Drosophila melanogaster: one gene and its partner. The protein of the gene in region 1 interacts with the protein of each later gene in a biochemical or structural test. Each region holds a gene or a part of one and is shown in the gene's direction. Other genes may lie near its edges.

Region 1 (4,591 bases):
TAAATTCCCGGCTAACAATTATATATTTTCGTTTGTTTTATTTATGCACCGCGCAGTGCTTATTGTTGTTGCCGTTTCTTGCGGGAGAGATGCGACGCGCACGCAGCGTCGTCAATGGAGAAAAATAAAAGAGAAAGCGCCCGCTCAGCTCAGCCAGTCTCCGTTGACCGCGCGGTTGGCGAGCTTTCTTGCAACTGACTTTCGAGTTTGAACGCGAAACTTTCGATTTCCATTTCCCGATGGCGAAGGACGATAGCCATCATACGATAACGATAGCCCAATGGAAAGCAGCTGTCGGAAATGCAATGGATCCACTGAACAAATTTTGGAACAGCTGTGGCGCTACATTCGAATTGAACAAAATATACTTTAAAATTAAAAATAAAAACGATTGTGCAAAGTCAAAACGTCCCTTTTGATGCTATGCGGGCATTTTTGCACGGATCAAAGCTGTAGTTTTGGTGTAAGCTAAAAAAACAATTGGTTTAAGAGGCAGTCATTTGATTGTCTTAGGCATATAAAAACTATTTAACTGTACTTCTAAATATTTATTTATCCTTACTTTACATCTAATAGATATGTATGAAATTATTAATTTCAATGATTTTATAACAAAGGTATTTATAATGAAATAAGGGGCAAGTTAATTTAATTTCCTAACACTACGAATTAATCAGTGAACAAGATTAATCTTATTTAACTACTTAAAGCTATGACACAGAGGCATATCACACACGTCTAGACATAGGGATTCCAATTGCTGCCGTCCTCGGGCAGCAAATTGTTGGTGATCAGGAGGATGACGTCGATGATCCACCAAACGCCCACGCCGCCCATGGTAAGCAGTTTGCCCACAGCCGTGCCCGTTTGACCGAGACAGAAGCGATCCATACCGAGGAAACCCAGCAGCATGCTGTAGATCAGTGTGGTCACAAAGTAGTGATCCGTGTAGCGGACACAGGGCACTCCGGCGCGCAGAAAGGTGCGATTACCGTAGCACTCGATGTCGGCAAACACGGTGCACCAGACCATGGCGTGCTCCACCTCTTCGTACGTGGAACCACCGAACTTCAGGCATCCGTATTTCTTTTCCTGCTGCGCCGTGGCGTTCTCCCGATGATCGACGGGATCCTTGCAATCGAGAAAGTCGCGCGGCAGAAACGAGCACATCACATTCGGTCCCAGTGGATAGAAGGCCGAGTTTCCAGCTCCGCCCGAGGCGGAAGATGCCGAAGATGACGATGAGGAGGGTCCCATGCCGGAGCCCAGTTGCGCCTGAACGGGCACCACCGATTGCACCGCCGTGCCGGAGACCACAGTCTGCGGCTGCTCCTTGTCGCTGCGTGCCTGTATCGCTTGGGCATCGTGTTGTCTGGCCACCAGGAACGCCAGTAGTCCGTAGAAAATCCGCATCTTTGCGAGCTCCTTATCAAAATATAGCTAGCCAGTGTGGCCACACCTTAGCACAGCTAACAGAGCTCTGTTATCTGCGATGGCCTACCGATAGTTCTGATTTTAAGCACCACGACAACGAATGGAAATAAATAAATGCAAATAAACCACCTTTCAAGTAACAGTGCTCCTTAGCATATTTATTGGCATTAGTGTGATCGTAGTCTTTAGTTAAGTACATTTAGTGAAGTGCTATTTAGTATAATGCGTTTATTTATTTCAGACTAGTTACCAATCACGCGCCCATCTCTACATTCGATAGGCAACGGCCCTGTTGCATTGGTGTGCACACACTGGCCGCGTAATCAGCGGGCGCGAACCATTTTTTTTTTTTTTTGTGCGACAGAACAAAAACAAGAGAATAATAGACGCTTAAAGAGCATTACCCGTCCGAATTTCACGGGCAGTACGAAAACAAGAACGGAGCAGAGAGCCCGCTTAATACGACGCGTCATTTTCCACCATTTTACTGCTGTGATTTGTTTGAATTTTGCTGTGTCAGCGCATTGGAAATTCGTTGGACAAGAATAATGAATCTATTGCTCCTGGTGGCCACCGCGGCCTCCGTGGCGGCACTCACGTCCGGTGAGCCGTCACTGCTCTCGGATGAGTTCATCGAGGTGGTGCGCAGTAAGGCCAAAACCTGGACGGTAAATTCCTTTGTTTCCAACCCTTTTCTTGCTGACGTGACAAGAAAATTGCATTTTCCCGTTTCCTATCCGCCAGGTGGGTCGCAATTTCGATGCATCCGTAACGGAGGGACATATTCGCCGCCTGATGGGCGTCCATCCGGATGCGCACAAGTTCGCACTGCCCGACAAGCGTGAAGTTCTTGGCGATCTATACGTGAATAGCGTTGACGAACTTCCCGAAGAGTTCGATTCCCGCAAGCAATGGCCAAACTGCCCAACCATTGGCGAGATTCGCGACCAGGGTTCATGCGGCTCCTGCTGGGCCTTTGGTGCCGTGGAAGCCATGTCCGATCGCGTACGTAGCTTACCTTATCGATATTATAACCCCTTCCATTCTTTGTTTGTCCAGCTGATAAATTTCCCCATTTTTTTTTATTATTATTTTCTTTTTGTATTTGTTATCAATGATTTTTTTTTTTTTACTGATTTCGCAATGGGCAGGTGTGCATCCATTCCGGCGGCAAGGTGAATTTCCACTTTTCGGCCGATGATCTCGTCTCCTGCTGCCACACCTGCGGATTTGGCTGCAATGGCGGTTTCCCCGGCGCCGCCTGGAGCTACTGGACGCGCAAGGGAATCGTCAGCGGAGGACCCTACGGATCTAATCAGGTTGGTGATCTTCTCCTGCTTTAATGGGATTTTGCAAATCATATTTAGTTTGGTTTAAAAGGGCTTGCAATTTGGTTTTGCTTGCAGATGAGTTTCCAATAAAAAAAAGGGTTTGTTTTCTAACGAAGAAAAACATACTTTATGTGCAAAAATAACCTGTATTTGTACATATTGTATTTCTACGCCGAAATAGTTAGAAAGCAACTTGATTTTGTTCTTTGTTTACTTGAAGTGAACTGAAGACTCAGTTTACGACGCCATAAAAAATTGTATACCACAGATATCGCTAGAAAGCGGCTTAGTATATCATATACAAACATCCATATACACAAAGCTATATGTATATATATCATATACGAACATCTATAGATATACATGCATATATTGTGAATGCACTCCAGATTCGCGTACATCCTCAACGATAAGTTTTAGCTGCTACTAACTCATTTCCCAGATATAGTAAGGCAAACAGAAGAAAAAACGATTCTAATATGCACTTATTTTGCAGGGCTGCCGTCCTTACGAGATTTCTCCCTGTGAGCACCATGTGAATGGAACCCGACCACCATGTGCCCATGGCGGTAGAACGCCCAAGTGTTCGCACGTCTGCCAGAGCGGTTACACCGTCGATTATGCCAAGGACAAGCACTTCGGCTCCAAGTCGTACTCGGTGAGGCGTAATGTGCGTGAAATTCAGGAGGAGATCATGACCAATGGACCGGTTGAGGGCGCCTTCACCGTTTATGAGGATCTCATTCTGTACAAGGACGGTGTCTATCAGCACGAGCATGGCAAGGAGCTGGGCGGTCATGCCATTCGCATTTTGGGCTGGGGCGTTTGGGGCGAGGAGAAGATTCCGTACTGGCTAATTGGTAACTCGTGGAACACCGATTGGGGCGATCATGGTTTCTTCCGCATCCTGCGTGGCCAGGATCATTGCGGCATCGAGAGCTCCATTTCGGCGGGTCTGCCCAAGCTGTAAATGTTATATGTATTCCGGCATCAAGCTGATATATCAAAACCCCTCTATTTTCTATCATCCCTCCTTTTATTTTCATTCCGATTCGCAACTGACGTTTGTAGTTAATGTAAACAACCTAAACCTGATTGATAATAAAGTATTGTATATGACTGTGGAACTGTACTTTGCTCGTATACAGTGGGACCTCTCTAACTAGAAACAAGGCAAACAAAAAAAAGAAAATGATTATCAAACTGGAACTCAGATATAATTAAAAGCGAATAATACTATTTGTGAAACAATGCTATAACTATCCAACTATAAACTATTGTTTAGCGTAGCTATGCCTTTTTTATTTAATAGTAGAGATTAATAGTAGAGAGTATCTGATCCTCTATACTATGTACACACATTTAAATGGAACGCCGTCAATCGTTCAATCGTTAAACTGGCTAGCTGTATGTTTTGCGAGTTATAAATGTGATTAGCATCGCATTTGATTAATCAAACAAAGAGTACAGCTTGCAATCGCATTCGTCATTTGGTGCGATTTTGTTGAGTTAATTTATTATTACATTAGTTAGCTTGGCCATACATACATACATACATACATATATGTACATACATATGTAAAACTTATCTCGTTGAAGCTGCCCACAATTTGCAGCACCAAATGTCCATTCAAATTGTACACATATTTATTCACATAACATGTTTTATTTATTTTTCTCATTTGCAACATCAAATAGAACATTTGTTTTGTATTTTCAGTTTTTTTTTTGTTATCTTGTCATGAACCAACCGCTTCTCTTATCGATTTTCTGTGAATTGATTGACTGGTTTTGTAGCCACTCTTCTATTCACCGAAACTCGATAT
Region 2 (3,063 bases), on another chromosome or scaffold:
CACCATCGTTTTTGAAAAAGAAGAAGGAGAAGAAGAAGGCCGAGGCCTAAGCTGACCATCAGCGTGATCCGTAGGAGTAGCAATCTTGACCAACCTCCCACCATCAGCGGGAACCGAGAAAAATAACGACAATGATACCACGAGAAAATGGAAACTTTAGCCAGATCAGCAAAAGAAGCATTATATAAAAAAAAGAGAGAGGCCTAAACAAGCAACGGATGAGCAGCTAAAATCGATCGAGATGCATCTAAGGGGAAATCCCCCTCACCCTCCCTTAATTCGCATTCACAGCTTATATCTATTATAATATAATTCTAATTTTTAATTTATACGATGGCCACGGCAACACACCCTCCCCTCCACACACACACACACACAGAGAGAGATAAATGCAATTCACACAACAATTTGTATGATAAACGAGAATGAGGTTTGCAGGTGTACACGCAATATCCGACACCGCCGCTTTGTCCTAAACAAGTAACTTGCAAATATCTTCTAGATGTATTAGCTTATAAAATAACTACGCAACACACCTTACTACATGATGACATGGTAAAGCAAATGAACAGATAAAAAAGGGTACAAATTCCCAGGCAACTCTAACGACAAACAAAGATTTGTTTGAAACAAAGGCAAACTTTTGTTTTTAGACACATACGTACAAGCGTGGTACATGCATAATACTTAAATGCAATATTTTTTTAGAAATGCAATAAATTCGATGACAACAACTACAATTTGATATTCTAGGCATGTGTGTGTTTTGTGAAAGCGCGTTTTATGTTTTTGTGTTCTTTTGTTTTGTTTTTAAATTCCGGGCAGCCACAATTTGCACACAAAACGAATAAATAATTATTGTATACATGCAGCAATTGTATTAGTTTTTTATATAAATAATTATATATTTTTATGTACGTAAAACTGTTTATACATACATATACATATATATATTTATAAAAACCAATAAATTATGAAGAAAACGAAAATCCAAAAATACACCACGCCCGCATTAAAACATGCGATTACTCTGAGGAAAGCAGAAACAACACAATCACTGAGAATGGTTGGAATTTTCCAAAAATTATCTCCAAGAATCAAATTTCAGCATTTCTTTTGTAAGTAGATGTGCTTGATTTGTAATCGCTTTTCCATTTATAATATTCAAATCGATGAATAACGAATACTGCAATTAACTATATACGACTGCCATAGCATGTAAAACTTTAAGGCACAACTTAAACGCATTTACATTTCAAATTAACTGACATAAAATTAAAACCCCGATGATTAATGCCAGATAAATCGAATGTTTCTGCTTTTCCTACCCAAACCCACCACCACATTGAAAACACTCTCTTTACAACATAATACTTGCATTGCTGAGCCTTAGACAAACAAACAAACAAAAAAAAAAAACGGCAAAATATAAAGTATAATTAAACTGATTATTTGCGCAACGACAGAAGCTTATTTCTAGCAACTTTTTTGCGTCATTAAGGCGAAAAAGTCTGTATAATTTTGTCCTTAGATTAACATTAGAAATATGTCAATATTCTCACTCTGTGCAAATAATAAAAAAACTTTTGAAAAAAGCAAACGAGAAGCCGAAAGTTTATTCATAAAATTTGTTTAGAGTGTAAGAAAATGCATATAAATATATATTTAAATTCGTATTATACACAAGAAAAAACACGACACACACGAAGAAGTAAACACGTAATAAATAAAAACTTGAAAATTGTACAAAATTCAAAAGTATTTGAAAAGAGGTTTTTTTTATTTGTATTTATTTTTTGAGTAGTCATTCCAAAAAATGTAACAATGGTTTTGCATTAAATGTTTATAATGTTTGAGAATTTAGCATATGATTTAAATCGAATTTGAATAGTATCCGGTTTTCATAAACGAGGGCCCACTGTTATTTATGTTTGTTTTTCACCGAAGTGGCATCTCTGATCAGCTGCATATATTATCGTTTCTTTGTTGTGTTTATATGTTGTGACTCAGTGCGAAACCGTGATAAAACCTGAGAATTGAAACGAAATTTAGTCGGTCACCAAAATTACAAGTGTCAAGATGTCCCTGGTTTCAGATGAGGAGTGGGTGGAGTACAAGGTAGGCCCAATATGTCCTAGCAAGCGACGCAATATTTAGAAATCACTTGATTCCACCATAGTCCAAGTTCGACAAGAACTACGAGGCAGAGGAGGATCTGATGCGTCGTAGAATCTACGCCGAGTCCAAAGCCCGGATTGAGGAACACAATCGGAAGTTCGAGAAGGGCGAAGTGACTTGGAAAATGGGAATTAATCATTTGGCTGATCTCACGCCTGAGGAATTTGCCCAGCGTTGTGGCAAAAAGGTGCCGCCAAATTAACAGAATCTCAAGTGAATCTCATTTTAAATAGACATTTTGTAAAGACACTAATCTCTCTGTAATTCTATAAATATGCATTTGAATTTTTAAATCTTTATCGTTCAACCACCCCCAAATAAACAATAAATCAGCTGTTTTGTACATTTTAAAGATTTTGGGATTTTTGTGTTCTGGCCACTTTGGCTGGGAGAAAAACAGTTCATTAGGTTTTGGTTCAATGAACGAAGGTTTATTTATCTCTACGATATATGCAAATAAATACGTACGGCTGAGATGGTAAAATTCCATTCCAAAAATATGTATGCTTGTACGCGGTATCTATATACATTTTGAACTTAAAGCGGATTAACGCCTTTCTGCGATGAACTAGTTCCGGTTCAGCGTTCATTGAGCGAGTCAGTGAACCGAACTGCAGTGCCGACGAGCGGCAGTTCACACACAACATTTGAAAGTTTGTAAACTTTTCCTTTTTCGATCACATAGACACATCGATACACGTAGTTATTTGTTTTTATTTTGTACCAACACCAAACACCCCATCTTACAAGCGCGTAAAACCTCGTTTTCGGTCCAATCTCTTGCAGAATCTTGCAGTAGAACCTCACAGCCCAGCCAAACATGTCCGGAATCATGCGTGTGCCATCGATTTTGGCCAAAAATGCAGTCGCCTCCATGGTAAGTAG

The links. The genes of interacting proteins can lie anywhere in the genome.
Region 2: of the proteins of CtsB (region 1) and cer, one has a biochemical effect on the other in vitro, tested with the Drosophila melanogaster proteins (one study listed by BioGRID).

What each region holds. Positions count from the first base shown.
Region 1 is NC_004354.4:13,779,321-13,783,911, reverse strand, and holds CtsB (cathepsin B), read left to right. Parts: upstream 1-1,741; 5' UTR 1,742-1,982; coding exon 1,983-2,102; intron 2,103-2,178; coding exon 2,179-2,439; intron 2,440-2,585; coding exon 2,586-2,753; intron 2,754-3,261; coding exon 3,262-3,735; 3' UTR 3,736-4,065; downstream 4,066-4,591. Other genes in the region: amrt (amaretto), read right to left, coding at 739-1,413.
Region 2 is NT_033778.4:19,395,679-19,398,741, reverse strand, and holds cer (crammer), read left to right. Parts: upstream 1-1,969; 5' UTR 1,970-2,079; coding exon 2,080-2,118; exon of another isoform or gene 2,119-2,179; coding exon 2,180-2,380; 3' UTR 2,381-2,527; downstream 2,528-3,063. Other genes in the region: SdhA (succinate dehydrogenase, subunit A (flavoprotein)), read left to right, coding at 2,999-3,055.